Linked DNA regions of Daphnia pulex. The protein of the gene in region 1 purifies or fractionates together with the protein of each later gene. This does not show direct contact. Links are inferred from orthologs where the notes say so. Each region holds a gene or a part of one and is shown on either strand. Other genes may lie near its edges. The genes, in order: dorsal-ventral patterning protein Sog-like and bone morphogenetic protein 2-like.

Region 1 (16,165 bases):
TGAGGAATTAGAGACCTATGCCCACGGGATGATGATGGACGCATCCGTCGACGTTTCCCATTGAGATGTTGCGTTTCCTTCCCTGTACACAGCAGACGCCTCTCGACGTCGTTGTCTACGGTGTACAGATCGCCGCGTGTATACAGTAAGATTGATGTCACATGTGAATCACGGATGGTTATCCGAACGCGCATGCTGCACGATTCACGCACAATTATAGAGAGAGAAAGAGAAAAGAAACATCGAAATCGTCGGCCACTGAATATTCAAATGCAATTTACACATTCCGTAGAATTATACAATAGATTAGAATATAGCTACGTATAGTTTTTGTGGTCGAAATGTTCAACTGTTTCTTTTCTCTTCTTCGTTCAAAAATATTAGAAGAAAAAATGTAAGAAGAAGAAAAAGGATTTTTCGGGTTATTTTTATTTCAAATTCCCCGCCTTTCACTAGACTCTCTCTAAATAAGCGCTACACATTTCTAGAATTTCGTAATTTTTTGTCTCTTCAAAGTCCGGCGGCAATTGCCGATATATTTGGAATGCGCCACCACTTTAGTAAAGAAGAAAGAAAAATTCAGAAAAGAAAAGAAAAGAATTTTAAGAAAAAGAAAAGAAAAAAAAAAGGGAAGAAGAAATGGTGTGACCAATTTCAGGCCATTAAGAGCAAACCGCCTATATATAAGATAGATTTAAGCCGCTTCCGAAATCAGGTGCTGGGCGGCAAGTCCAATCTTCTTCTTCCCTTTTTTCTTTTTTAGCTTTTATTTTTTTTTTCTCATGCCCAGTCAGTTCAGTAGTAGTGTCTGGTAGTAGCACACTTCACACGTATACATCCATCTTAGGCCCCATGAAAGAAAAGAAGAAGGACCCTTGTAAATAGTCGGAAATGAGGGGCTCGAGAGTTTGACCAAATGGCTGTGGATAAAGTATTTTATTTCTTCTTCTTCTCCTTCTTCTCCCTGGACACGTTTGTGATTCATCCTTTGAAAAATGCCCGTCTCTCTCGACTCTACAATGTGTCCAAGGTTCGCCCTTTCTCCTTTTTTTTTTCTTCTTTCGCTGGATGCCATCTCTCTCTATAGGTATACTATATACATCCAGCCACTATTATAAGCTTCTGTGTGTGTGTGTTATTGTTCTCATTTCCAATTCTGCTGGGCCGGGCCGGCTTCTTTCTCCTTTTTCGATTGTCCGTTGTTGTTCTTTTTTCTTCTGTGTGTTGTTGTAGACCTTTAGAGATGGAAATATACTTTTAACTTTTGTCATTGAATTGTCCCAGGACAATTTTTTTATTTTTTGGCCACCTCGGAGCAAGAAAAAATTTGGAACTGACATCTCGACTTGTTCTATTGTCCAGCAGCAAGTCGAATCGACGAAATTTTTTTGCTGCGGTGTCAACTGGGAAATTGAATGCCCATGATTAGAATGGCCCTTCCGGTCGACACGCAGTCACAAACAGCGCACAGGAGAGGAGGTGGTATACTACGATGGTCCACGCTCTATACTCCATTAGAGTTTCCGCTAAAGGAGAGAGAAACGGCCCAATCGATGGGCGACGACAGGGGAATTATAAAAGAAACAAAAAAAAATCAGTCGATCTCAGTTAAGATGGACACACACAATTTATCTTGACCTGAAAATCTCTCTATATGCCATGTATATACGTATTAAACCTATCGGTGATGTGTGTCCTCATTAATCTACATATAGACAACATATATATCTCACCGCGCCTGATGCCATTTAAAAGATATATATCTCTTTAATATTTATTATTCGCCATTTTTTACCTATTAAAAATGGCGCAGCGGCTTATATTTATTTGGTTTTTTCCTTTTTCTCATTAAATATTTCCCCCCGCCGTTTTTGTTGTCTTGTTGTGACCGGTCACACTACACACCATATTTTTTTTCTCACTTGATTTAAACTACTTAAAGTTAAAAAAATAAAAATAAAATGAAATATATCATCCCGATGAAAAACTTTCATTTCAATTGTGTATAGCCATCGTAAAAAAAAAGATATATTTATTTTTTTGCTCTCCGATGGAATGAAATAAATGACCAGGACGTGAAAAGGAACAAGTCGAAAGGCTTAGCAGAATGAAAACGAAAATTGTTAGTCCCCATAAAATGAAATAAAAATAAGAAAATATCTTGAGAAAAACAAGGTCCAAAATATATATTGTAAATCCCCTCCTTGAATATGATGTAATAAAATCAAGAGCTTGTTAGCGCAGAAAGCAGCGCGCGCGCTTATAAAAATAAATTCGACGGTACTTTGCTTTTTCCGCGTTGAAGAGATGAGAGAATTCAGCTCTCCCAATCAAATAATCAAGATCCGGTTCGTTGTTATAATCAAGGCTATAAATAATGTAACATCGTAAGAAAAAAAAAATTTTTGATTTCCGATCAATTGAATTCAAATTTTTCCCGCGCCCTTTTTTTTTCTCCCGGATAAATACAAAACCTTGACTAAGCGACCGATTAGGAACACATCCGAGTCTCACAGCTGGGCTGTTTAATGAAGTGGACAATGGAAGAAGATGGGCGATGATGTCACGGGCTATTATTATTCCAAGCGTCGTAGTAGAAGGTCAATAACTATTTTACAAGAGCGTCGTCTCTATTTATCTGCTCCGAATAACTGCGCAAGAAAACAATTTCGGAGCGGAGGTCAAATCAAAATGGCCATCATCAACATTGGTCCGCATCCGAACCGGAACCTTTTTTTCTTTCCCCTTGATTGTTCCCATGCAAATTGATGCGCCTTTTTTTTACCAATCGTGAAATTTGAGATAATTTTTTTTTTAAAGAAAATTGAATCAAATCTAATTTTTGGGGGGGGGGGAGGGGACAAGACAAAAATTTCCCATGGCGCCAGGGAATCTCACCGATTGAGAGATGATACCCGCCACAACAACAACAGCCACAACAACAGCCAGAGCTCTCCTTCTATTATAATATCTATACGCGGAATAATCTTCTCCGCCGTAAGTATCGACTATCGTTTGCTAGGATTTATGACTGAAAGGTATAAACTGACTGGCCAGCAAACAAACGACCCCCAAATCGAAAATGAGACGATGAAGCCAAAAAAAAAAAAAGAATAAGAAAAAAATATTTTTTCCTATTTTTTATTTCGAACCAGGAACTTTCATATACAGATGGGAAGAAAGAAAGAAAGAAAGAAGAAAAAGATGTGTATATAAATTGATGAATTCATTTGCATAGATGTAGTGTTTCTCTTCTTCTTCTTCTAGATATTCCACGCTGCGGTGCTGCGGTCTTATAAGGCTCGTCTGCGCGCTATTTCGTTGTGTTGTGTGCAAGTTGGCCGCCGCGGTGGCTGTGCTGGGGTGGCCCGCCAACAGACTCTCGGCTCTCATCTCCATCGATGCTAATGACTCTGGCACACTCGTGTGTGTAGACACACAGGGCGGCGGTTCATTTTCTTATACCAGATCTCTCTGAGCTGCTGCTGCTGCTGCCCTGCCTTGCTCTTATATAATATTCCCCCCCCCCCCAAAAAAAAAAAAATCTACGACACCTTTTTGGCCGGGGTCGCCGGTCCGGCCCCGCCCTAAAAAAAAAAAAAAAAAATATTTCGTATGTGCATCTCTCTCTCTCCACTAATATTATTATTATTAAAATAAAAAAAAAAACCTTGAGTGATGACGTGCCTTGGTGGCGAGGCCCAGGATCTTCGGCGCCGGAATGATACACACACACACACACGCAGCAACAACAGCAACAACAGCCAGAGCCAGAGCAGCAGCACTGCAGCAGCTATAGAGCGAAGTTGATCAGAAAAGAGTTTGGCTGAGAGGCAAAACCACAGCAGCAGCAGCAGGGCGCACACAACAGCTATATTATAAGAGATGCTGGGATACACATATACAACAACTAAATAGAAGCTCGTGACCTCGCCTCGGTCGTGTGTGTGTGCGTCTGTCTGTTTTAGAGAGAAAGGATTTTTTTTTGGATGTTGGTTGTTGTTTGGTTGAGATTTACAGCTCAGTTGAATTTGGTTGTTGTTGTTCTCTCTCAGCCTATCGGCATTGACACCAATCAAAAATAATATGCAAATGATATACCAGTCTAGAAAAAAAATAATTATAGAAAATGGCCAGTCGACTATATTCGGCCTATTTATTTGATTCGCTCGTTCAAATATTGGCGCCAAATTTTTTTTTGTAAAATTAGAAATCATTGACTTTTTTTCGCCATTTTTATATTTTATTTTTTTAAAACGATCGACCCGAGAGCGACGTGACTTTTTTTTTCTTCTCCTAAAATCTTTGGAGATTTTTTTTCTTTCGTTTGATTTATTGAACACATTGTGCACAGCATTTCCTATTTTGCTCGCGCGTGAATTTTGGTTTTTTTTTGGTTTTTTTTTTTACGAGTTTCGTTTAGATGGTGGCCGCCTCTTTTTGTGTGTGTGTGTCTGAACAGACGCGCCAGGTTGTCGCTGCTCTCGCGAAATGTTAATAGAACCATTTAAAAAAAGAAAGAAAAAAGACTTTGGATAGTTTGTTGTTTGATATAAACTGGGCCCCACCCCATTCGTCTTCTATTCCCCGCCGGCCGGTCGCTCGGTCGTTCGGTCGGTCGGTCTCGATCTGTGCAACACGGGAACGCGTTGGACAATGGGTGGCGATATACAAGAAGAAGAAGAAGAAGGAAAAGGAAAAACCAAATTGACGACACGCGACAGGGCCACATCGCAGCAGACATGACGCGCCGCTGCGATCTGCTGTTGTTTAAAACCAGGCGCCAGCCGCCCACGGGTTGGTATAAAATATATAGAGAAGAGCCGGACAGCGCGGACGGGATGGACGCGGGACGGACGGGACGGACGGGCGACACGATGCAGACAAATCTTTCGCTACCCACCTCCCGTCCTCCCCCCACCAACCAACCTCATAAAAACGGATCAATTTTCTCTTATTCTTTTTTAAAACGGAGCAGTTGTGTGTTCAGAGGTGGGTGGTTGGGTGTCGTTTATCACGAAAATAAAAATAAAAAGGAACACAATTTATTATGTTGAATGAAAAAGATCTTCCGGTCGGGGCTGACTGGCGCCAAAAAATGTTGTCCGTTCAAAAATACAAAAAAATATCAACGGCGCGGGGTGTGTGAGAATAACAGCCTCCTCCCGTCGGGTGGTTTGGTTGTTTGCTGGACTATCTCTAATAAAATGTGTACGGGCACACGTCTCTGGCTGAGACTGGGCTGCATGCTGTCGTCAAGTCTATCTCTTGTGTCAATGTGTAACACACACACAGCAGTCACAGCGGACTCTGGCAGAGAGAGTCCGTCTATAACTATACCCAACACCAAAGACAAAACGACACACAAGGAGGTGGGGTAGAAGGAGGAGGAGGAGGAGGGGAATATGTCAACTGATTGCGCGACAAGGTGCCGTGTGTGTGTCAACCGCCGAGCGGTCGTCTGCCATGGCCTGTCAAACGACTACGACGCCGGGCCGGGAGAGAGAAATGTGTCGCAGTTTCAGCCAATATGTCCCGCGCGCGCCCGTGTCCGCCAGCAGCAAAATCCAAAACCAACGCGTGAAATCAAATCAAAAAATTTGAATGTGTGTGTGTGCAGATATGGGTGGACATTTTATTTTTTGGGGGGCTGGCTTGGCGAGACGGACACACAACGCAACATGGAAATATATATCCACAAAACAAGGTGAGATATCACCCAAAAATAAGGGCGACAGCATGTAACAACCTAACGAGTGTGGGATCTATAATAAATTTATTATATGGGACGTGTGCTGTTTGATATCGAACCGTCTTTTATTTTGGGGGGACGTCGGGACTGCTGGACGCCGGACGGGATTATATAAAAAAAAGATAAATAGCGTTTGGTTTGGTTTTTATCGAGCAGTAGACGAGGGATTATTTTTGGGAAAAATCGAAAAGATTCGGGTCATCGGTAAACAACAATAAAATTATGAAGCTTTTTTGGAATTTCCCGTCTGCCCGTCGCCGGCCGTCTGCCGGCCATCCAAAAAAATAGAGTCTAGTCGAATCAATACACAGGCAATTGAGTTCACGTATGTAACGTATCTATGTACCGAATGTAATTCAATCAGATTGTTATAACTTTGAATTGGGCAAATGAAAAAGAAATTCAATTCCGGATGGATGGAAGAGAAGAGAGATTCTCTTCTGATCTTTTCTTTTTCCTCCGGATCGATTTCTTATCATCACACAACTTTTTCTCGGTTAGATCTCTGTACAAATCCTGTAAGAGAATATCAAAAGGAAAAAAGAAAAAAAAGATCAAATTTGTCCAACTACTTCTTCCCTTTTGATTCGTTCAACTCCTTTTGATATGGCGGATGGAAAAGCTAACGAATCGCCAAGTCGGTTTGCCCTATCTCTCCTTCAACTCTTCAAGAAAAAGAAAAAGTCGAAACGAATTCAAAGTGAATGAATCCCAACGTTTCGCGGGATAGGGGCAAAGGGATCTAACGTGATTTAAGAGCAAGTGCGCTGGCCCATTTCGTGGCCGCTGGATCACAGAGAAGAATCTCTAAAAATCTAAAAAAAAAGGAGATGAAAATTCAAAGGGGAGCAGAGCGCTCAGACATAGCCGATTGCATTTGAATAAAAAAATAAAGACATTTTCTTGGATTCCAATTTGCCGCCAATTTTCAAACTTTAAATCGCCATTTGCACAAAAAAGTACGCCAAGGGCGATTTTCCGTCTCCCACGATCGACTTAGAGCCGGGCCAATTTGCTGTGTGTGTGTCCGGTCCGTTTTGTGTTCTCTCTCAAACTGTTATAGTATTCCATCGAAGGCAAATGCGAGGAGCGGGGCCCGGGCATCAATCAATACATCAAAGTATCGGGGAGTCAAGTGACTCGGGATTCCTTATTTGCGACTCGGCCCGCCCGTTTCTCTCTCTCTCTCACGAACCGAACGGGCGGACTCTTGCCCTACATATATACACGAGGAAGAGAGTATAGACGGGCCGCGTGCAGACATCGGAGAGGATCGTTACATAGTTCATCGATCCGTTTAGTATGTCTAAGGTGATGAGACGGGCAGAAAAGAAAATCATTTATATAACAATCCCCCCCCCCCCCCCGAAAAAAAAGTTTCGGGTTTTTTAATTAACGTGGTTGTTATCTGTGTTAGGTTATTTCTCTCTCTGTGCTGTGTATGTATAAGCGCGGGACTTTTGGTACGTGTGTGTGTGTCTGTGTGCGCTGCGCACACACTCGGCGTTTAAATTCGCCTCGTTTCCTGATGATTACATGTTAATGAGCAGCTCTCGCTGTGTGCTTAATTATATCGTTGGTGCTCTGCAGCCAAATAGTAGATCCCGGGCTCTATCCCGCGAGCTGGATTGGGTTGTATTTTTTGGGGGATAAGGGGGGAATAAGAGATAAAAGGGCCCCGCTGCTGCTGCTGATGGATCGCCCAGGCGGAATGGATGAGACAATAATACGGGCCATCTATACATGTATAATAATCAATTGATATACATAGAGCGTTTGCCGGCCCAAAAAATAACACAAACACATTTCGCTAAGGAATTGATTTTTGATTTAATTTTTGAAAGAAGAAGAACAAAAAAAATGTTGGGGAAATTCTTTGGCGGATTCCTATTGTTTTCATTTTTCGCCCAATGGCCAGCATCAAACACACCTGGACAATTTTTTTTTTTTTCATGTCGACAAGTCGTCGAGGGGATAAATGAGCAAAAGAGGCTGGACTCTTTTTTTTTCTTTCGGCTTTTTTAACTGGAAAGAAAATATCTCTCCCCCCCATCATCAACACGAAAGACACACACACAAGGACCACCTGCAAGATCTATTGGGGTTGGTCCTCTTCTTTTCTTTTCTTTCGATTTCCAACCGGCACTTATAACGTCCCGGGAGAGACGATATGATCCATAATGTGATCACAGCTGAGAAGAATCGAACCAAAAAATTCAAACTTTTATTCTCTTTTTATCTTTTTTCTTTTTTTAAGTAGAGGTGTGAAGGTGTGGTTGTAACGCTCAGGTATACACAACACACACACAGACACACAAGACACTAGAAAAGAAACATGTCGACAACTGATTGGAAGGGAGAATAGGAGGAGTTGGGTGGGGTCTCTCCTCCCAAACGCGCAGTTGGCGGAAAATAAATTTTTTGTATTTTCTTTTTTTAATTTGTCTTGAAATCAATAAATATTTTCCCCCTTTAAAAAAATAAATAAATAACGTCGCCCGGATCTAATTAAAATGTTGAAAAATGCAAAGGGCGCGAAATTGTGATTTTTCAAAAAAATTTAATTCAAATGCGCGCGCGTAAATGCCTGACGAAAGAAATCAAATTCAAAACTAAATGACGTCATACGAACTGCTGCATAGCAATAGCTTCTTCTTCTTCTTCTTTCTTTCTTGTGTGTGTGTGTGTGTGTATGCCATATAGGAAAAAAATAAAAAAATAAAACCGGATCGTTTGGCTGTTGCTGCGTCTGCTGTTTGCGCTCTCTATAGAGAGACGCTGGGCGATAGTCTTTCGTGTGCCAAAAAAACAGTTTTTGATATAGGCGCCATCAATAGAAGACACACACACACACACACCACACACACTGGCCAGCAAAGAGAAAAGATTTCGGGGCCAGCAGCAGCAGCAGCAGCACCAGAGTTTGATCTATCTAGTGTGTAGTTTTTCTTCTTTTTTCGCTCTGTGAATGCCGATGGGTGGTAGAATAGAAGCGGGGGCCCGTTGCCAAACACGCCGGAGCAGCAGCAGCAGCAGCAGCGGCAGCAGCAAGCGGAGAGAAGGAGGTAAAAGGAGGTGGGTTTAATACACACACACACACAGCTATAGCCAGGGAGGGATAGAGTCAAGAGGAGGGACACACAAGGCTCTACCCAAAAAGCCCAGCACCACATCTGGCCGCTCGCCCGAGTTGAGGCGCAGTCGTGATTCAACTCTCGAACGCGCTACAAGTTCTTCTTCTTCTCTCTCTCTCTACCTCTCTCTCCCTACCCTTTTTTCTCGTCCCCCCATCTCCCACTTTTGATTCGGTGGAGAGAACCCCACACACGATTCCACCCATCGCCAAAACAAAATTACAACAAACAAATTTCAAAAAGTGCGCCCCCGGTTTTTTCATTATTTGAAGTGAATTTCATTTTGATTGTGTGCGAAAAGAAGTGAAATATAAATTGAAGAGAGAGAAAAGTGCGAACAGATTCTCGGCCGTCATCGCGGCGTGGTGAATTTCGGCCAACAATTTTTTCGCCAGCGACACGCTATAGTAGTCGGATTTTTCGATCAAATCGCATCGGGGAATACAAGAGAGAGAGAGAAAGAAAAGAGAAATATTGAGTTTCCATTCTCTTTTTCTTCTTCTTCTTTTTCATTCTCTCTCTTCGTTTTTTTTTCTCTCCTGCCCTGCTGCTGCTGCTGCTGACTAAAGGTGAGTTCATTCCCCGCAATAGCCCATATGGTATTATCATACGAAACACAATTCATTTTGATTTTTCCATCTACACCTTTTGGGTGGGTGGGTTTTGGAATCAGATTTAATTGTTTGGCGTAATATAACGTTCAAAGGTGGAAATTGATATCAAACGTGAAACAATATTATATATTTCAAGAGAGAAGATGCATGTGTGTATAAGGCTGGCCATGGCCACCATATGCAGAGTCTGTACCCGGACCCGGGGCAGGGTTTTTTTTCTTTTTCTTTTTGAAATAAAATGAAAAAATACAAAATTCGAAAAGAAATAAAAGAGAAAAGATTTTCATCTCATGACCAATGCGGCTCACGTGCGATATACTTATAGACTTAGGACTATATAATACACACACACACACACAGCACTGCGGGAGTCAATTCTTTTATTTTTGTGTGTTTCCTCGGTGAAACACACACACACAACAGAAAAACCGAAATAAAAGAATTCAGAAAAAAATAAAAATAAAAAAAAGGGCAAATCAAAATGAGAGACATGTGTAAGGTGGCGCCTCGAGTCCTTATCGGGATCCCAGGGACGGCCATCTCTCTTTCTCTCGTCCGTTTGAAATGACAAGAAAAAATGTATAACAACAAACCAACCCAAAGAATTCAAACATTTTTCTCTTATTTTTATTTTTATTTGGTTTTTTTCTCCTTTTCGTTTTGTGGGGTGAAAGTTAAAGATGAAATAATATATTAAAAAAGTGGGACGATCTAAAATTAAATGTGTCATCCAGGTTGTTTATTTAATTATTAATCGCACGAAAAACCAATCAAATCAAATTATTTCACGTTTTTTTTTTCTTCTTCTTTTTTGTTTTTTTGAATGTTCAGGTCCGGCACGAAAAAAATAAAAAGAGAAAAATAATCGGGAAAATCAACGGGCCGGAAAGAAATGCGGTGTGAAGCGGCCCTGAGAGACCTGGTGCTGCTCTACGGCTCGTTGTCATCTGCTGTCGACTCGACGACTGAAAACAGTTGAAATTCGCTTCTTCTTCTTTCTATCCCGAAATTGTCAATTTGTTTTTTTCTCTCTCCCGAATTCTGTCCACACGAAAAAAGAGATTTTCAACGTGTTCGTGCGTGCGTGACAACCGGGTAAAAATTATCATTATTTCTCCAAAAAAAAGTGCGTTTCACGTGTGCGCTAAATTCGAGTGTGCAAAGTGGACCGACCGATTTATCTGCGCGCCAAATTCAAATTTTGTTTTCTGAAAAACAAACGAAAAAGACAATTTTTGTTGTGGGTGGTGAGGAGAAAGAAATTATTAACAAAATGGCTTGTTATTACCCGTCTGGCAAATGGTTCCTGTCCGTCGTGCTGGCCGTCCTGGTGGCACTGCTGACCGTCCAGGCGGCCGGTCCGTCATCCGGCGGCCATCAGCGCAACAGTAAAATGAAACCGCCGCCCATCATTTCGGAGGAGTCGTCCAACAAGAATCGTCGCACGTCCGGTAAGTTCCGAATCTAATTTGATATCATAAATCCGCGCCCGGTTATTTTATTCTATTTATTGTCTGTGTGTCACATCCCAATCATTTCCTCATTCACTCACACACACACACCTGTCTGCTTCGTATCAACCGCCAACCACCACCACCACCCTCCCAAACCACCTCCTTTCATTTATAATCGATCAATCGATTTTTTATCCTTTTCTTTTTGATCTCTCGATCCGTTGATTGCTATTCTTCCCTTTCGTCTCTTCTTTCTTTCTCCATCGGGGAAATGTATGATTCAATCAAGACTGTATTGGTCTGTGTGTGTGTCTCTCGGCATCCGATATAGCACTTTGTCGCTCCGGCCGATATAGCAGTGTGTATAGTCCGCGTGAGTGTGTGGAACGGACAAAAGATTATTGATTGCAGCTCAGAGAGTCTGGGAACCAATTTTTGGGTTGTCCTTTCATCTTTTGTTTTTTTTTCTTTTGGGCCGTTTATTTTTTCACGAACGTTTCCATCACCCCCCTACAAATGGTTTAGTTAGAGACACACGGCCAGGGCCATCGTTATTTTCAACCTTTCAGAGCGCCGAAATGTGTAAAAGATTTTTTTCCAAGGCAGCTCTGCTGGTCTAATATAGACAATCAAACTCTATGCACAGCCCAACAACAACAGTATATATAAGAAGAGAAGAGAGAATATAAAATCCCTGGAGCCATTAGACACACACACACACACAGCAGAGCAGAGCAGACGAGTATAGAGAATCCGGTTTTTCTGCCTCACTTGAAAATGTTGTTTGCTCAACTTCATTTCTCTCTCTCTCTCTCCAACATAAAAAGAAAACAACAACAACTTTGCTTCTTTGATTTAAAAAAGAAATGATCAAATAATAATTTTAAACCCCAAAACTTTGATCGGAAAAAGAAATACCAAAACAAAATTGAGTTCCAGCAACTCGATCCTTTTTTCCGGCCCGTCGTGCTGTGTGTAGAGACAACATCCGCTAATAATGCTCCATCGAGTGTATTTGTATATATACATCCGATCCCATCATCATCCCTGTCATGTCCTATATGTTGCCCGTGTGTGTGCGCGCACAATATATAGTATACGTACATACGTACGTGTACGTAGAATGGCACATGAGTTTTATTTCAACTGTAAACTATCCACCGGGATGGAGCTCCTGGCAGCGCCTGGGAGATTCTTTTTTTTATTTCAAAAGATAATCCCGAAAAACAAAAAACATATAAAAACATCCGTGTAACTCGGGGTACATATTTTTTGTGTATTCCTTCTTGTCTATTTGCTTTTGACTTCTTTTTTTGATTGCGGGATATAGGAAACGTGACTGTCTGTCCTTCTTATATTTTATTAAGATGAAAAAAAAAAATAAAAAAATTAACTTTTTGTTTCGATTCCCGATTTCAAGGAAACAGAAACAAACAAACAAAAAGCCTGGACCCTGGCCCGTCCGTCCGTCTTTCCCAGTTTGTAAAGAAGTAAAAAAAAAAGGAGAGCATTTAATGACGGGACTTTGACGTGTGTTTTTTTAATTTCACGAAAAGGACAATCATTATCACGAATAGATTACGAAACAATTTCAGCGAATTTGATGTTTTATTTTATTTTTTATTTTTTGTTTTTAATCCTTTCACTTGAAAGAAGGCCGATATGTTTTTGATTGAACGAATCAATCACCGCTGTTATTTATTATTATACAGCCGGCCAGTCAATCTATACAACAAACAAAACGATGTGAGCTGCTGTTTTCCCATTAATTACTAAAAACAAGTCGATATTATATATTGGAAAGGAATCAGTTGAGCGGATGTAATCGGTCGACGAGAGCCACACACAACACGAAATCAATTCGATTATTTCGGGTAGAATAGAATCATCAAAGTTAAAAGAAAAGTTTTCTTTTTTTGTCTTGATTCTTCTTTGCTCTTTTCCCTGTCATCATTCAAAGAGTTCGCCCGTTCATCACTCGACTTGATCCCCCCCAACGGAAAAGTTTAGTCGCTCTGCTGTACGTGTGTGTTTCTGGCCGGCAATCTCTCGTCATCTATTTATATCAAACATCATCGGCTTGTTCTCCTCTCTTCTGTCTTTGTCTTTTTCTTATTTTTATTTTCTCTCTCTGCCCGTTTTCGGAAGGACGGGCCAGCAGGAAGAAGAAGCCCCCCAGTTGGAAAAAAACACACAAACAAACAAACATTCCAGTCACCCGAAAAACACGTTTATTATATTAGATAGATATATATACTACCGCCGCCTATATAGGCAACATTTTTTTCCTGAAACAAATGAGCAGCGCTCAGATCACACACAGAGAGAAAGAGAGAACCGGAATTTGGGGATTTTTTGGGGAAAACCTTTAAATTTCATTTCTTGGTCTTTTTTGGTTTTCTTCTTATTCTTCTTCTGATAAATGTGTCCTTGTTATTTCGGTCGATTTATTTCCGCCGGTCGGCTGGACAATGTCGATATTTATTTGAAACGGAAGGGAGCTTAGTTTTGGCCGGGATTTCTACTTTTTCTTTCTTTTAAATTGAATTGAACTCTTGAACGCGGGCGTCCGTTTGGTATGCGACGGGCAGAAAAATAAAAAAAAAAAATCGCCAAGTCATGCGAGTAAGAAAAAATATAAAAATCAAAACTTCTGGTCAGTTTCACTTCTGAGAATATCCCAGCCGGGCACTATCTCTTTCTTTCTCTCTCTTGTTTCTCCTATAATCAACTTGTTATTGACTGGGCAGAAAAAAGAAAAAACAGAGAGACACTTTCCGTCTGTAGCACAAGAGAAGAGAAGAGAAGAGAGAAGGCCAACAACTTATTGATTCTCTCTCGAAACGCTGGCGGCAGCGGCGGCAGCGGCGGTGGCGGTGGCGGCGGCGTTGCTGGCCCGGCGCCTTTTACAACTTCTGGTGGTCGTTATATATGCGCCGTCGCTGCTGCTGCTGCTGCTGCTGGGCCGAATATTTTTTGCCTTTTTTTTAACGCCACATCGCTCACCGTGAATCTCTTCTGCCGGCCGTCGTTGTATAATCTTTTCCCGATCGGAATAGAAGGAGAGTCGAAGAAATGGTTGGTGGATTTTTTAGTTTTATTTTTGGTTGGTTTCCCTATTGAATATGGCATTGGGAGAAGCCAAAAGGAAGTGGGCCAGCAGCCGGCCAGAGAGATGGATAGATTGCCATGGCAAATGGGGGAGGAGTTTCGAGGGGGGGGGTAGAGAGATGGGGGAAACCCGCAGAGTTTCGGCCAACAACAACAACAACAACAACAGCACGAAAAAATGGAAGAAGAAGAAGAAGAAGAAGAAGAAGAAGAAAAGGAGCGGAGTTGAATGTTTGTTAACAGAAGAAGAAGAAGAAGAGGAAGAAGAAGAAGAAGAGAGAGGAGAGTATGGTAGGATAGTAGTTGGCTCGTGATGGCCGCCGGCGGTCATCCACGACGGCCAGAAAATAAAATACAGAAAAAAAAAGTTACGAAAAAATCGACGGATTTTTGTTTTGGGACACGTCACCGATTTTTTTTTTCCCGCTGGGCCACATCGCACAGGAGAAAGACGATACGTCCCCGAAAATGGACGAGCTCTCTCGTTATCTTTCACGCGCAATTCATACACACACGGACGGCGAGACGGGCAAGGAGGGGGCGCGGACACTGTGTGTGTGTCGCGCTATTAACAACGCAGAAAAATTATTATTTTATTTTTTTATTATTCGAAATTTTTTTGATTTCCTCCCTGGTGGTGGCAATCAAAAGAAATCAAAATAACAAACTGCTGGGCAGTTCTCTGCTGCTGCTGCTGCCCTGATGATGGCTGGCTCCGTGCCAATAAAAAGAAAAACGGACCCAACAACATCTTCCCCGCAGGGTCACACAGCACACACAGCGAATCATCCGCGCACGCAAAATACTTCATAACGCGCCAGTCTAGTGTGAAATAAATCAATTCCATCAGAGAATTCCAAAATAAAAATTTAAAATAAAAAATAAAATTGACTGGGCAACGCCGGCAACGGCCTGGGTGTATATATACATGAATGGGACACTTGATTATGTCTGGCCAGCCACAACATTATTTTTAAAGAAATATCTACCGCCCTTTTTTAATATTTTGAAAATTTGCCGCTCTTTTTTATTTGAAAAAACCAAAATTCACACGAATTTCGTTGTTGTTGTTGTTGTTGTTGTTGTCAAAAGGGTCAAGTGGTTCCTTTAAGGAAATATGTTAATAGCCAAGAGAGAGAGACGGGAGAGACGGGAGAGACGGGAGGCGACAGTCGACTGCTGCGTGCCGTTGGGTCCTCTGCTGCTGGGTCTGAAATTTCTGAATAAGAAAAGTGGGCAGAGAAAAGAAGAAGAAAGTCCATCCATTCTTATTCGGCATCTTCGGATGGCTGCCAAGAATCTCGAGAGGAAAAGCTCCAGCAACCAACGCAGCACAGAGAATGGATGAGAGAAGAGAAACATGTCCGTTTTTATTTCCCAAAAGAAAAAAATTTCCCTTTTTCTCAAATATTAAAAAAATCAAAATCCTTACGGCCATTTGGACGCGTACGCACTATACACACCCACGGCGCGCCAAAATTTCTCGTCAGTTGATTTCTTCTTCGTTGAATATTTCTTTTTTTTTATTATTATTATTTTGAAAATTTTGACGACGGTTTGAATTGCGCGCCGCCCATTGATTTCGTCTGGCGACTTTTTCAAAAAAGTTCAAAGCGGCGGGAAATTTTCTTTTTTTTTCTCAAGTGGATCACCGAATTTCCATCTTTTATAATAATAATAAGACCCCGATAATAAGAACCAACTTATGGACCCAAGGACCTGGTTGTCACGGGACTCACGGGACTAACAAGCCCAGCAAAATTCAAAGGCCCAGCCAACTGTTCTAATCATTGCGCCAAAAATAAAAATAAAAAAAATGAATGATGGACCGAATTAACATTTATCGTTGGGGAAATTTATTATGAAAGAAAATAAATTGGGCGGGGTTTCAAAAACAAAATATTTTTTTTGGGGGGGAAATAAAGTCGCAGACGCTTCGCAACGGGGAACCGGCGACGCCATTTTATTTTTTCGCCAAAAAATAAAAAATAATAATTTTGATTGCCCTATAAAGACGGACGCGCGTGTGTGTGTGGTCTATGTGTTGTTGTCTTAGATTTTGTCAATGGGCCATCTCGTTTCCTCTTTTGGTTCTGCCAT
Region 2 (16,259 bases), on another chromosome or scaffold:
CCACACGACCCCCCCTTTTCGTCTATCTCCTTTGAAGCTCAAATATGGTCAGCAAGGAAGAAGAAGAAGAAGCTGGTTGGAATGAACGAGTTGGAAAAGAGCGTTGCCATGTCGATGTTGCCGCCCGATAAAAACGATAAAAGCACACACACACACACGGCAAATAAAAATACCAGAAGAAAAAAGGGATCCTTGACAATGGCATCCCCCCCTTAAATGGTACCATATACCCAAGGTAAAAAAAAAAGTAGATGGATGGATTAAAAGCAAGGATCCGAGGGGGTTTAGAGAGTCGGCGAGTTTTTTTTTTTGTCACCGAAGAGCAAATAACGAATGAGCTGCCTTTTACAGCTCCAACACAAGGAAAAGAGAGATTTTCGGTTCATCTCTGATTATATTTTTCCTCCTTGTTCGTTCAAAGTGCTCCCCAACTCGGTTGATATTCCACACACACAAGAAAGGTATAGAGAGTAGTACTTGTGTCCAACAATAGGAGACCAAAACACACACACACACGACAAAAGTCTATCCAACCAAAAGGAGCCGCGCTGGATGAACCATCATCTTCCATTCATTCCTTGAAGATATAAGTTAAAACTCCTTATTTATTATTATTATTTGTCATCTCTTCCGCATTGCACATGTCGGAGATCGTGTCGCATCGATGGGTGCGCCCGCTCAACACGCCAAAATTCACGGCTCTTCCGAAGCCCAGAAAAAAAAAACAAGGAAGACAAATATAATAAAAATAAAAAAAAGGTCCATTTTGGAGAAGAGAAGAGAGAGATTGTCTTTTTTTTAGGGTCAGGGCCGTGTCGAAGATAGTTGTCTCGGGCCGGAAATACTTGGCATTCCTGCGGTCATCAATGAAAGGTTCCCTTTGTCTTTTGGGTGTGTGGTGTGTGTGTGGTGGCCGGGCGACGTGCAGAGAAGCCGGCACATTTTCAGATGAGAATAGAGAACCTTTTTCTATCCCCTCTTCTTCTTCTTCTTCTGTGTGTTTTAGATATATTTATTTTAACCTTTTTTTTTTCTTTTTTACCTTGGTCAGACGGGCGGGTCTTCGGGGGTCTCTTATCTCATGATCTACCGCCTTCTCTCTGATGCTCGGCCCTCGCTGCTAGCAACTCGTCGCTAAGAAAATAAATTCTACACGTGAAAAAACTCTACACATCCATCCATCGCCCTTCTCTAGTTCAAGGTGGGTGGTGGTGGTGGAAAATAATGATGGCGAAAAAGACAGATGGAGACTAGGCGAATATCCTATGTGACGCTATCGTGATGAAATCGACCGCGAAAAAAGAAAGAAACAGAATAATTCATTTTTCTCACAGTCCCCCCATCAAATGCGGAAGCGGAATGGTTCCTTTTATAAACAACAACCGGATGAGTTGAAATGTTAAAAAAGGCCGAGAGCGACGACGACATATTGTTGATGTTTTGTTTTTTTGATGATGTCGTCCTCGGCTGTGGCATGAACCTATTAAAACCCACATGCTACCTTTTTTTCTTTTGAATGATGGGGAGGTTCACAAGTGGATCGGCGGAGTCAAAAAAGGACGGGAAAAATATAATGGCGGGGTCTTCTTCCTTCTGTGTGTGTGTGTGTGCGTGTGTGTGTTTAAAAGAGAGAGAAATGGGTGGAGGAGCGCTAGAAAAATCCACAAAGGTGGAGCCGGTGTAGTATTTTCTTCTTCTTTTCCACTTTACATTTTTTCCCTGTTGGTAGTTTTTTATTTTTTTGGCGCCCACTTCCGCCGCTCTCTGAGCACCATCAGATGGAAATGAGCTGTGCTCATCGACCACATCACATTGTGGGTGGTCGCCAACATCTCCTCTTCATATTCCGCCGTCATTCATTTCTTTTCCCTTTTTTTTTTGTCTATTTATCTATTTGTGAAATGAAATTTCTTTGTCGTTACTTTCACGAGAATATAAGAAGAAGAAAGGCCTCGATTGTTTTCAAGCGGATGGTAATGACTAATGAAAAGATATTTTCATTTCTTCGAAAAAGAAATAAAAAAAAAGTAGAGTGTCTGTACATATTTCCCAGGCCGGAAAATTCGTCGAATTTGGCATCCACCTGGTTTTTATTCAACTCCGTCACTAATCGCTCAATTGTCTTTTTTTTATTATTTTTAAAATAAAATTCTTTTTTATTTTGGTTCGTGGGATTGTCCCCAACGAGTTTTCTAATAGTCCCCCAAAAAATACAATTCAACTTAAATTTGATTCGAAATAATGCCATCAAGGTTACGTATCATAAGCCCCCTATTAGATATCAAGAGACTTTTGGTGAGACCCAGCAGCAGATGAGCTGAAGAGAGTCTCACTTATAAAATCATTAAGCGAGAGCCTTTATGGGAAGGTCGCATGCCAACCGAGAGTATATAGAGCCAGCAGTCCACTATACTGCTGGAATTGAAATGCATACAGACACGGGGGGAAGTTGTACAGTTTTCCACAGGTCTATAATACACAGGGGGTTTACATATTAGAGAATGCGGGGGATGTGTACATATAGTATAGGTTTCCAGCCAAAGACGACCAGGTGGAAAATAAGGTAAAACAAAAAACAAAAAATGGCCAGCTCACAGATAACAAAAAGAACCGAGCCCTGTGATTATATCATGCCACCACCTTTTGTCTTTTTTCTTTTTCTTTTCCACCAGCTTTTTCTCGATTTCATAATTACCCATCCGGTGTCAATTTTCCGTCATTTTTCGGTTTGGTGTCTATTATGTCTCCGGCCGCTTTTTTCTCTTCTATCTCTTCTATGTGTCTACACGTTTTACGTGTTTCTTTATTTCCTTTTTCTCCCCCCCTCTCCTATTTGGCCTTTTCTTTTCTGGCCATCCGATGAGTTTTTTCTCACTCGAGTCAACAACAATCGACACACACACACACACAAAAGGTGGAAGCCGAGAAAGAAGAAGAAAAAGACATTCTGTAATGTCTTATGTGCTGTAGTAGTCGAGAGAGCAGCTAGCTAACAAGAGAAGTCTAATTGGCCTAATCAGTGGAGGGCTTGTTTTGTTCGTTTGTCTCTCCACTATACACACAGCAGAATATGATATAATAAGAGGGCCCCTCGTTACTATACTATACGCTCACTCACGGCAATGTGAAACGAACTCGACTGCAGCAGCAATAGATTTACTACCGGTAATTGCTCGCCGTCAGCCTTCGCTTCCAATCTGACCTTTTGTTCGGTTGTCGGCCAATGACGACGACGACGACGCAAAGAAGAAGAATATCATCAGAATAAACACAAATAATCGTCAAAGAATCTCTCTAGAAATGGTGAACACACAAGTTTCTTTCTTTCTCTGTGTGCACAGTATATAAAAGAGAGAAAGAGAGACCCCCTTCGGACAGGTGGGCCAGAGAGAGACCGCCAATGGTGGCGGTGAATCTCTTTTCTTTTGGTTTCTTTTCTTGCCAGTTAGATGATTATACAGCTCTTCTTCTTTTCGGCTCTGTGTTGTGTTGTGTGTTGTGTGTGTGGTGCGCTTGAATAAACGAAAATGTCTTTTGATGGATGATGTTATGACTGCCAGAAAAAAAAGGCAAAAGAAAAGAGAGGAGCGGCCGCGTTTATATATCCCTTTCGAATTCTCGCGCGCGCGCGCGCGCGGCTTTCATTATTCAAATCATTCTGAAATGCAGTTTATCTCTTTCTTCTTGTACGTGTATTTTTATTTTCATTTTTTATAGATTGGGAATTCAGATGGTTAGTTTAGCCGGCCACACACACGGCCAGAGAGAGAGAGAGCGCTGAAAAGGAGCGGTTATGATGTGCACGCCACCTGTCGCTGCGCTGCCAACTAATAATGGAAAATGGACCCTGACCTGTTAAAAAATCAAAATACCGCGCCCTGGTAATAAATAATATTGTTGATTACGTTATTATTATTAAAAAGGAAAATAGAAAACAAAATAAGGAGACGCTATACAAAAGTTCGACCCCCCCATTTTTGACCAGCATGACGCGACATGAAACAATCGACAAAAGTTTTTGAATTTCCCCCCTCGGAAAGAAAAGCGCTTCGATATCTCGTTTTTTTTGTTTTTGTTTCTTCCCTTGAATGTTAATGGATCCTGTTATTGTTAACAGGCCTCGAAATCCCCCCAAATTCAAATTGATATTACCCACACACACACACATGCGAGTGTGTGTGTTATTCTCCGAAGAAAATTCTAAATTTCTCGACCGCAGAAGACAAAATTCCCAAACCTGATTTTTCTGACCCCGATGGACGAGATGTTTTATTATCTTTTCTAATAAAAAACGGAAAAATTTCTTTACAAATTTGATGATTTCCCAGAAAAAGTTGTGGAAAAAAATAAATTAAAAAATGTCCTGTGATGTTAATCATCATGACGCGTACGTGTGTCACCTAGGCTAAAATAATTATGTGACAGTTCTGCACTTTGCCATTGTACGCCAGGCTGTCAAATGAATGGCCAGCTGGAAAATTTGTTAAATGACGTGCACTTTGCGTGCAACTTTTCTTTTCTCTTACATTATATTGGATAGGGGATAAAAAAGAAGTTTCAACTAACAAGCTTTTTGTGTTTAAAAAGTGCGTAGTATTATTGTAACTCTGCACGCTATTGAGTGTCCTGCTATCTGTCCTCCCAGTGGGTATAATATCGATAAGAAAAAGGGCCGGTCATTGGGAACTGAGTGGTCGTCTCTTTTTTTTTCCACAAAACTAAGTTTTTACCGAGTGTAGATATAAAAGAAGAACAGGTTTTATTGTGTAGTTAGAAACTGTAAATAAAAGTGGCGAAACGAAAATATATATACGCGCGCGCCCACAGGTGTGCACGTCCATTCGTCTTCTTAAATGTCTATAACAGATATTATTATTGTGATTGTTATTATGAGCTCGTTAAGGTTAGCTTAGCTCAGCCAGTCAAGGTTTTTGTGTACGCTAGAAAATGCGACATTGATTGTATCGCTCTCGACGGCCAGCTGGTTTACAATAAAAACAAGGGGGGTGACGCAAGAGAGTTTGTCTGTACACAGCACACGACGATGAGGTTTCTGAGTTCGCCGTCATCTCGTTTTTCTCGTTCCAGCAAATGCCATTCCACAATTGTTTTTGTTATTTCTCTTTGGAAATGTGCGCACACATTTGAGATTGTGTCCACGATTTCTATTCATTATATTGTAATTCTAATAATGACTGCCATTGTAATTCTCCGCAAAATGATTTGGGGAGTAAACTTGGATAATTATTTCAAAGAAGATTCTGATTTGATTCCATTTGATTGAAATCATTCGCGGTGCATAGAAAGTGGTATAATCGGTTCTTCGTATTTTCTTTTCAAACTCAAGTGAAAAACTTGACACACACTCGACTTGTATTGAGTATTAGACAGCAGCAGGTGAGCGAAGTATGGAAAAAAGAAGGCGGGCCGGTGTTGAAAGATAATATTGAGATGTGGGGGCTGGTTGTTGGAAAAATAAGAAAAAGACATTTTCTCTTTTTCTTCTTCTAGCGACTTGATAGATGAAGGTGGTCCTACAGCAGAGGCCTAAACGGTCAGTATAATCAACTCTTTCTCTTCTATTCTCAGCAGAAAGAGAGAGAGTGATGGCCTATACACTGGCCCACCAGGGGGGTTGTCCAGCAGAACAAGAAAACGATTGTACTACTCGAGTGTGACATTTTCCCACTATTACTACTTACTATATAAGTGTGGGTGTGGACGTTTTTCCCAAGAAAGAAATGGCCTCCTTTTTTTGGAAAAATAAAAATGATCAGGTGTCTAAAGCCACATGTAACACGGCATGTCTAATCTCTGCGATTTCGGTGTGAATCGCTTTTCTGCGAAATCTTTTCTGCGCGGTGGCCAAATGTATTAGCACTTGATTGTTGAGATACAAAATAAATTTAGACAGCAGTATAGGCCCGACCCCACGTCAATTAAAACTCTGTCGAGGAAAGTGACTGGCTCCTGTCAAAGAGAAAATGTTGAACTCGCGGTGCTGCTGCTGCACAGGTGGACAACACACGGAAAAATAAAAGTCTTTCAAAAATGGATCCGCTTTTCTTGTGCCCCCTTTTTTATTATTATTAAAAAAAAAAAAGACCTAAATTCTTATATGTAGCGATGATGATGATGGCAGCAGCAGCAGCCCCGGTGCTTCTCTCTCCTTGTGGTTTTGCTGGCCAAGGTAAAAACTCCCCTGGGGTGTCGAAGAGAGAAAAAACGGAACAACAGCCGCCACGCAGTCTGCTGCGCCTGATTCTCCAGTCTCGTCTATTCTTCTTCTTCTTTTTTCACATATTCTTCGTATTTTCTTCTTCCTATATACAACCGTCCATATAGTCGCTCTCACCTTTGTCCGTGTTGTGTTTTCCATCCGACACCTTTCTCTCCAGTGAATTGTCATTCAATTTTTCAATTTTTTCCTCAGATATCTATACGTTTTTGATTGACTTTCTTCCACACTGCTGGACGTCCCATGGCGAATTGATTCTCCCAACAGTTTCGCCGGATGGAGATGAATGGACACACACACCTGTGCTCCGGCTGCACCTTTGTATAAACCTACCCAGCAGCTTTTAAAAAAAAAACAACAAAAAAAAGAAGAAAACTTTCTTCTTTTTTAAAAAGAAAATGACGAAATTCTTTGGCCATCAATTTTTCAAAATGTTTCGCGCGCGGCTTATTTTTCTCTTTCCGAAACTATTTACCATACGATATCTCATCGCATTTTGTCGGCATGTTTTCTTCCAAGGCAATAGAGATCCGACACACCTTCTCTCTGAGGCGCTTACCTAATAACTGCGCATATATTAATAAAAAAAAAATATATATTGTTTATTTTTCCCAATCGGAATCGTTTAAATGTTCCGCTTCGTCTTCTTGTTGCTGGCCAAAGAAGAAAATAACCAAACCTTTTTTTCTGGTTTTTTCCTGAAAAAATAAAAATTAAAGGGAATATTAAGTTCGTACATAAAATTCGGATCCGCCCAGTTGAATCTTTTTTTTCTTGTCTAAATTCTTCTTTTGGTAGAGATAACATTTTCGTTTCTTCGTTTTTGTTCGACCAGTACTAGAGAGGTAGATCCTCCCCTATTTTAACTCTATATGTAATTTATATCTATGTGTGTGTGTATTGAGAGGATGGGGGGGGGGGAAAAGAGCGGTCGAAAAAAACATTTCTGCCGGGTTTTTCTTTTTCTTTTCCGTCTTAATTACAGAGCAAAGTGCGCGGGTTATGGCGGAGGATGACTCCTTCTTCCAACCCACTCGCCAACCGAACTCGTATACAGAAGGGGGAGGAAAAGCCGCAATAGAGAGAGAATAAGCTGCACACCTGTGGACGAAAAAACAAAAATCCAATAGCCTCCAAATAGAAATTTTCTCGGTTGTTGTTGTTGTTGTTACGCTTCTAATACCATAGGGCTATGTAGAAGCGCGCGGGATTGGACGCACAAGGCTATGCAATCACGAACGCCGACGTGATTACAAAGATTGAGGCAAAAGAAAATTGAGAGGAGGACACACACAGAATAAAACGAATCTGAAAAAATCAAGGCAACCCACTTTTTCTTAACAGACGAAAACACACAACAACAACAAACACGAGTTGTGTGTAAGCCAATATTGATTACACGTGTACACACTGCGCCGCTGGTCGCAAATCATTCGATAAACAAGGGTGAGCTTGTACAGTTGAGCAATTTGATATGCCCTTTGATCATTGGTCGGTGTCTTATACATTTTTCAAAAGCTCATCATTTTGAATTTCCCGCTTCAATTTTAATTTCCGGGTTTCAAATTCACGCTGAAAACAAAAAATATACCTTTGAAATAAAAAATTGTGTTGGACATTGAAATTTGGCATGGCGCTGACAAGTATAGTGACCTTTTTCGAGTTGTCATTTTCTTTATTAGATTTCTCCTTGTATGGAAGGGGAGCCTTATATTTATTATATGGCCTCCTCTTCTTTCTTTTGCTCCTTCAGATTCATCCTGCGGAAACCTTGGACGACTTTTGTTCTCCTTCGGCTCCTTGTCATCTCTCATCTCTCTATTCCACCATGTGTATATATAACCGTTGGGGCTCCTGTCGCCACCCGACCCCAGTCACAAAAAAAGAGAGGGTCTGTTTTTACCTTTTAATTGCCCCATTCTCTTTCCCGGTATACGTTGTCGTTCGTCTCCAAAAATAAGAATCGATAGTCACTGGACGATACTTTTTTCCGATATGCCCAGGGAATGTTCGAGGGGTAAAAAACTAAAAAGAGAAGAAGCTTAAAAGCCACTCTAAATAGATGTATGTTTTTTAAAAAGAAAAAAAAAAAAAAAACCTTTTTTGGGGGTTTTTCTTGATGGGGTGACCATCTTGTTTTACCTTTTTCCCCCTCCTCCAAAGTGCTGCTGGCAATGTTGTCCCTGTGTGTGTGTTTAGATCGCCCTCTACCTTCGTGTACACAGAGAGAAAGAAAATGGTATTTAGTTTGGAAGAAAAGATATAGCCGATAGATATATATATATATATACAAACATTGGGATGCATTTCCAGGGGATTTTTATTTTTCGTCTGCTGGCTGCCCAGTGGAAGCGTCTCTTTCTACTCCTGGGCTCTCAGTCCTTCGTGTGATGTGACCAGTGCGGTTGGTCGGTGGCATTTTTCCCCCCTCAATTTTTCCTTGTTTGTTTCTTTTGATCGAATTTCTGTTTCGCCTCATCAAACGGAATTTCTTCTTCTCGGTGCCAAGAACCAAAACACCAACAAAGTTGTGCACCTGTGCATCCGCCATTTCCAGCAAAAAGGTGTTAGACTCATTAGATCCCCCCCACCCTACCTCACACAACACCTGTGTTTTCTTCATGTGCAACTTTTCCCGTCTGTTACTTTTTTGACACCTTTCCAGTCCCAGGTGGAATGGACCCCCACTTCAATTAAAACAAACAATAGACTGTGCAATAAGATTGATCAACATTTTGTAATTTCATTAAAAACTATCGAAAATCAATTTTTCTTTTTTGGGGGGAATGAAATTTCAGACATTTTGAGACGACAAAAGAGATGACCCTCCCTCCTGAAAAACCCAACCCAAAAACCTTCCAAGTTCCAAACGGAATAAAAACTTTTCCCCCTCCATTTTTCTGCCCTTCCCCCCCCCTCTCTTTTTCAATCCACCCCCTACTTCTTCTTCTTCTTCTTTTTGTCTTAAGTTTTCCACCTGGTTTTTCTTCTTCTTCTTCTTTTGTTTTTACCTTCCGAAACAAAAAAAGGAATATAAAAATAAAAAGTAGACGAAGGTTAAAAAAGAATATCGACCTTCTTCTTTTTATTTTTCCACCCAATCGTTTCCTCCTTTTTATTTTATTTTTAAATCGATATTTAATTCTGTTTCTTTTTTCTCCCTCCAGGGATTCCCGGTTGGACAATCCATTCCACGTGCGTCTCCCAGCCCGAGAGTGTGTGTGTTCGTGATTTATTTTGTTTTTAAAAAATCGTCGGTTATAAAATGCCCGCCAATTTCGTCGCCATTTTGAAACCCTGTTAGTTATTGGCTATTGCGTTCAGTGTTACGCCATCGTCAGTTGTGTGTCGTGAGTGAAGAAGTGAAAGTTGCGTCCAGTTGAATATATATATATAACACACGCCACGTTTGGACAACGGCGGCCGTTTTCCAATCCATCAGTTTGATCCATCGTGCTGTTGATAGTGCCAGGTGTGTTGTTGTGCCCATCATTGCGTTTTGGTGTCGTGTGTGTGTGTGTGTGCTATGAAGATCGGGCACTGCGTGATTGCCAGTCAGGGAGGATCGCCACCACCGCTGTGCTAAACTGCTAAAAGGCCAGGATGACACGGATCTCCCGCGGTTGTATCAGCAACGCACTCGCCCACTGCCAACTTCATCCTCCTCTCCCGCCCGTCCATCCATCGACTGGACACATCCAATCGTCATCGACTCAACAGTTCCAGGTTTTTAACAAAAATTTTTTCGTCTATTTTTTCAAAATTCCCGCAAAAATTTTGTAGAAAAATTTGAACTCGGTGGAATTTCACTGGATAATTTTTCAAACATATTTACTAAAAATCGATTTTTCGGGGAAGATTTATTTTTTTAAATTTTAACTTTTTTTTTACTGGAGGGTAAAACTTTTAAATTGGAAAAACAAAAAGAAAGATAAAAACCTTTTTCCACCCTCCAAATGAGGAAACCCAAGAAAGTTAAGGGGGAAGGGGATGCTGAGTGCTTTTCTTTTTTCCTGGAAGAAGAAGAAGAAGAAGATGGAAAAAAGGGACCAGAATGAGAAATACAAAACGGGGACAATAATAATAAAAGCACAAATACCCCCAGTCGATATGTGATGGAAACCGGTGGCCACGATTACGCTAATTAATCAAAATATTTTTAAAAATCCAAAATTTTTTAAAATCCCCGGCGTATCGAATAATAATTCCTGTCCCGTTTTCTTTTTTCGATCTGGGGAATTTGGAAATCTGAAAAAAGAACTTTTCAAGTTCTCGTGCCAACGTCGTTCATCTTGTGTTTAGATCTCGCGGGTGTTTTTAAAAAAAGAGAAAAAAAAAAACACGTAAGAGAGGAGAGAAAGGCAAACAAAAAACGAATGCGAGGGACCAGAAAAGGGACACAATCAAACTGCATCTAATAAATATTTGTCTCTACATATATATTCCAACGAATAATATGTGACCGGCGACATTGAGGCCAACAGCGAGAAAGAAAAAAAAAGAGATTTTTAACTTTTTTATTCGCTGTGGAACTTATCTCTTCTTATAAGATTGTAGCCGTTTTGTATGCGCACACACCTGGGTTACGACATATAAACAACTTCAATAACTTGCGAGCAGAGATAGGAGAGAATAAGGTTCTGGTGCCAACTTGTTGCTGGCCCCCAGAGTGGCCATTTTGTTGTCTGTAATGAACCGGCCGACAGGTGGAAAACAAATTCCTATCCAACTAGTCAGCGAAATTTTTATTCGGGAGGACGATCGTTCACACACAGGACGCATTCCATCTCCAGCTTTGCTGCTGGCCCCCTTTTTCTCTCTCTTATTCAAACAGTGACGCATCATCTTGCCCAGTTGCCGGGCAACTTGAGAGCTAGGTGTTTTCTCGTCCAACTGATTTGAAAGTTTTTTTTGAAATTTCCCCCCCCCACCGCTCCCATTTTGCGCAATTGTTTTATTTTCCATCCATGACCTATACAACGACGGATAGACGACGTCCAGCTTTGTGGATAATATGCAAAAATGTGGTGTTGGAATGGTGTTGATGGGCCAAGCCCCTCTTTTATCCATTCGCACCTTTTGACTGGAAATGCGCACCACCTGCTGTTAACTACTGGCCAGGGATTCCTGGAAAGAAGAAGAAGAAGAAAAACACCAACGCTTATCTAATTGGCGAGATCACAAATGGGAAGAATTCCAATGTTTATCCCCAAAAGAAAAAGAAGAAGAAGAAGAGAGAGCTCAACACCTGTGTACACACACAATCTCTCAACAGCTTGACATCATTTGCATATAATAGTCCTCCTCTACCGACGATGATTACATTAAATTATTATTACATCAAATAACTCCTCAAGAGATTTCAACATTTTTTTTTTCGGGTGGTTGCATCATCATCCGTATGTAGCGCCCGAGGGGGGACCTTCAACTCGCTTGTTGTTGTTGATAATTAACTGATTGCCGTTACGAAACGTCTTTTTGTTTGGTTTTAATCGCGAATATCAAATGAAAAATTAAATAAGGAATGTGGAAAAGAACAATGAAACATCAGGGAGGGGCCCGTCTCTTGTTTGTTTGTTGTTTGTACCTTTTTTCTTCTTTTCTTTTTGGAGGTTGACTCTGTTCATGAATGAATGAAGTCAAAAGATCAGCTGGGAGAATTAAAAAAGAAAAAAATATATATACCTGCCGGGTAATGGGAAAAGAAATATAAAAGAAAACGAACGAACGAACGAACGCGCAGTATAATAAGTTTTTGGGGAGGTGGGGAGTCTTATTACGTCGTAACAGGTGAGACCGGGGTTGGGCCCTGTCGAACCAAAATATGGAGTGGCTGTGCAGCAGGAAAGAAGAAGAAGAAAAATATATAAACTTTGGAGCGCACAGGTGTTTCTTTCACGGTTTATTTCAAAAAGGAAAAATATAAATTTGTTGAGATTAAAATGTTGTTTCGTTGTTGTTGTTGGGAACTTTCGGTCGCACCTTGTTTCCATCCGTGAACGGGGGAAATTCTTTTTTTTTTTTTAAATTTAACCTGGCAAAAGGTAAACGTGAAAATAAAAGAAAATGTTCATTGAAATTCACCAACGGAATTCATTTATTCTGCGGGGAAATAAATAAAAACAATTGGCGTTTTCTGGATTTGGACATGGAACATCATCAAAGTTTGTTTGGGTTTTTTTTTAAATAAATACCGGATCGTATCACAATTTCCATATCAAATGCCACCGCCAACTCCCTCCACTCTACTAACAAATAGTAGTTGCTACTTGGCCATTCCGCGCGGATGATTTCAAAAGTCTTCCGCGCGCTCCCGTCCAATTCGCCAAAATACCCGTTTGATCAGATTTTTGGTATAATTATTTATCAAGACAAAATATACAAGAGCCCGTGTCGGTCCCAAACCGAATTGAGCCTAGGTGATAAGAAAAAAAAGTCCATCCATCTCTTTTTTTAAATTTCCATTTGTTATTTTGAATTCAAATTGTTTTTTTGTTTGTTTATCCTTCCCAAATGAAATCCGGTTTGTCAATGAGAGAAAAGGGGGGGAGAACTGGAGGTAGAACTAAACAAATGGCTGTTTGGTTATCAGTTGGCGTTAATCACGATCGCCGGGGCCCACAACAGAAATCGGGTGAAAGCCTCCCGACTATTTTTATTTCTATTTTATTTTATTTTGGCTGGCCCTCGTTGCTTCTTGTCGTACCAGGTAGATAAACTGGCCAACAACAAAAAAAAACAAAACAATCGAAAGCTGGAACGATTTTATATATGTCTATCCAAATTTCTTTTATTCATTTTTATCGATTTTTCTTCGTTTCAATTGAATAAAACCGAACGAATTAAATTTTCTTCTTTTTTTTCACAACGGAAAAAATCGTCCGGTGGATGGATGGATCGAATTTCACATCTCCCTTTTTTTCTTTTTTTCTCCTTTTGTGTGTGTGTGTGAATGCGAAGTTTGGAACACCTGTGCGTCCGATCCACCTGTACAGCGGTCGTCCGCATAATGCCCATCCGACAATATCCTTCACTGCCAAATAGCCTCAAAAAGAAAAGAAAAGAAAAGATCTTTTCTACCAAAACCTTTTTTTCCATTCTCTCTCTTACTATATAAGTAACTTATATATATAGCTCGGTATCATCCGCTGGATATATACATGTGCAATAAGAAGGGGGGGGGGAGAGCCGGGGGCACGCGCGCTGAACACGCGCCGATGAATAATTCATGCGTAATGATATCGACAAGATATTATACACACACACACACGAAATAAACATAAAATGAAAATGAAAAAAAGAGAAAAAAAAAAGAGACACGACTTTGTTGGGTAAACGTGAATTGATGATGGCGGACATTTCACAGTATCTACGGCCAAGAAGAAGAAGAATAAGTTGGAAGAAGAAGGCCGTCCTTGGCCCCCCACTGGGCTGGCGGCATGCTGTCTACCAGAGAAAAAACCCTGGGCGCAACACACACTCCCAGGAAAAAAAAAGGGCCACGCTAAGAGTTTCTTGGGGTCTCCAGCCAGCACACCTGTGGGCCCCCATCTTCTTCTTCTTCTTTTTTCCTATTTACAGTAAATGTACGTGTGTGTGTGTATCCTCTTCTGACAACTCTTGGGGGTCTTCTCCAGGTGGTGTGTGTTCACTCTCTCCTGGTTGAAGAAGAGGGGAAGAATGAAGGAATTAGAACAGAAAGAATTAAAAAAGAAAAAGAAAAAAGACCTTGTTTCAATTCACACATGCATGTACATATCCGCGTAGTATACGGGAAAAAATTTTTAAAGAATAAAAGGTATCCCCCCCCCCCCTCCCCATATAGGTGAGGGGGGTCCCACCCGCTGGATATTATTGCCGAGTTTCTTTTTACGCACCTAGTCTCTTATTTTGTCAACAGCAGGTGAAAAATCGATTTTTATTTATTCTCTTTTGACCTATGCGTATAGATAGCGCTCGACCGTGAATATTATTTAGACGGTAGGGCCATGGTACTCTTGATTTGTCTTAATTTTTTATTCTTAATTTTTTGGTTTTGTTTTACCTGTTGGAAGAAGAAGAAGAAAAAGTTTGTTGGAAGAAGAAGAAGAAGAAGTTGGGTGCGATGGTCTATGCCCCGTGGGCCTCCCCCTTCCGTCCTCCTCCTCTGTCGTGTGTTCCCCCCCCTCTGGCACATCTTTTCCGAGTGGTTTCCCCTCCCTTTTTCTTACCTTTAGTTCCACCTGATACGAAGCAGGAGGTGGTGGGTTGGGAGGTGGGAGGTGGGAGGAGAAAAGACAAACCCAAAAGGTAGGAGGAGTGAGGAGAGAGAGATAGAAGCCCCCAACCAACACACACACACACAAACCCAAAACGGAAAAAATATAAAGAAAATAAAGAAGAAGAAGAACCCCCAAAGAAAAGTCCGTTTTAAACCACTCTTGCCGGTCTCCAACATTTTCAGTTGCCGCTCTCCCTTCAGGTACGGCGCAGGTGTGTGCTACATAATCCACGCAATTTTTTTTTCCGTTTTAACTCGACTCTGAATTTTTTTTTTCACAAAGTTTTTGAACGCCAAGAGAAACCAAACAACCAAGAAATTTTGTCGAAACTTTGACGGTTTTATTCGATTGTCAATTTTTCATCGATTTGTGCGACCCACTTGGTTTTCTGTTTGATTATTTTTTTTGAGGGGAGGTCGAAAATAATTTCTCTGGTCGTCCCGAAAGTGTTTTTAACTTCTTCTTATTTTCTCCCGTGTGTTTTTTTACGTGTGTCGAGGTGAAACCGAAGTTTCCGAGTTTTGAATTTGGCGACGGACGGATTCGTGATTCTGTGAAAGTTCTTTATTTTCGTTTGATTTGATTTGAACACCGCCGGCCCCGAAAATTTCTACGAGTGAATTGTGAATTTTTTTACAAAATAACTGGACAATATATTCAACCATCAAAGAAGAAAATTAAAAAAAAAAGTGTTTTGGTTCAATTTTGAGTCCGAGGAAATTTCTCCACCACCCAATAAAGTGATCGCCAACTAAAGAAAGAAATTACCCAAAATTAAGCGAAATAACAAACAAAAAGGGGTGGGGGCCAGTCGTGGACAAAAAACATGCTAGACGACGGAATATGACCAAGGTAAAAACAATCTTAAACCCAAATTGCTTTATTTTTTAGTGTTGGCGCTGTGTGGCTCCTCCAAGGATTGAAACCCAAATTTTTCAATCGAGTTTTAGTCGGAAGGGATAGACATGGGCAGACAAAGGGGAAAAGGTCTGAAAAAAGGGGAGAAAAATAAAAGACGACGACAACATTTTTTGGTAGTGGACAGTCTGCGATATGAACCAATTTCACCTGTGACTCTGGTATATATGGCGAGCGGGGCCGTGTGTATACTGTCGCCGGCCCACCTGAAAGGATCACAGACTGACTGACTCCGCTCACTAAAAAAACTTTTTTTTTCTTCTTGTCTTTGACATTTTTGTTTGTTTTTTTTTCGGTTGGTTGTCCGTGTTTTATTTCTTCCTAAATATTTTTTTAAAAACTTTTTTGTCGGAGCTATGAAAGAGGAATAGAGACAACCTCTCTCTCCTTTTGGCCTTTGCACAAGGCCATTTATGATCATTATTGGTGGTGGTGTTATATAGTGTACGTAGTATAGATATGATCCGGGCTGGAGGCCAAAAGATCTTTGATCCAACACTTTTTATTTGCAGCGTCATTTCTTGTTTTTTTTTAAATTAAAAATAGAAAAACTGAACTATGAACTGAAACATTTTCAAAAGAAGGATTTTGAATTGGGCGCCATTTATTCGCTTGAAATTTTTGCGGTCAAAAAAACATTTTTAAAAAATTCTTTTCTTATTTATTTAAAGGTTAAAAAAAATCACGCCAGAGTTTTATATTTTTCTCGTCTTATAATCCTCCTTTTTATCTCTCTCTCTCTCTCTCTCTGAAAAGATGTGGCACAGGTGGAGAGAGACGGTGGAGAGTCGCTTCTTTTATGTTGATTTCCTTTCTGCTATTTGACTAATATGGTCGAGGTG

What was found.
Region 2: the proteins of dorsal-ventral patterning protein Sog-like (region 1) and bone morphogenetic protein 2-like purify together in Drosophila melanogaster (affinity purification with western blotting; 4 studies listed by BioGRID). This does not show direct contact. The link is inferred for Daphnia pulex from reciprocal best matches to the Drosophila melanogaster genes sog and dpp.

The regions. Positions count from the first base shown.
Region 1 is NC_060018.1:10,722,948-10,739,112, forward strand, and holds the start of dorsal-ventral patterning protein Sog-like, read left to right. Parts: upstream 1-8,889; 5' UTR 8,890-9,455; intron 9,456-10,331; 5' UTR 10,332-10,773; coding exon 10,774-10,951; intron 10,952-16,165. UniProt on the Drosophila melanogaster protein: Putative negative growth factor. Antagonist of dpp, a protein involved in patterning the dorsal region and in the development of the neuroectoderm; dpp inhibition is enhanced by tsg.
Region 2 is NC_060019.1:10,270,404-10,286,662, reverse strand, and holds the start of bone morphogenetic protein 2-like, read left to right. Parts: upstream 1-8,462; 5' UTR 8,463-8,802; intron 8,803-9,405; 5' UTR 9,406-9,964; intron 9,965-14,575; exon of another isoform or gene 14,576-15,351; intron 15,352-16,259. UniProt on the Drosophila melanogaster protein: Required during oogenesis for eggshell patterning and dorsal/ventral patterning of the embryo.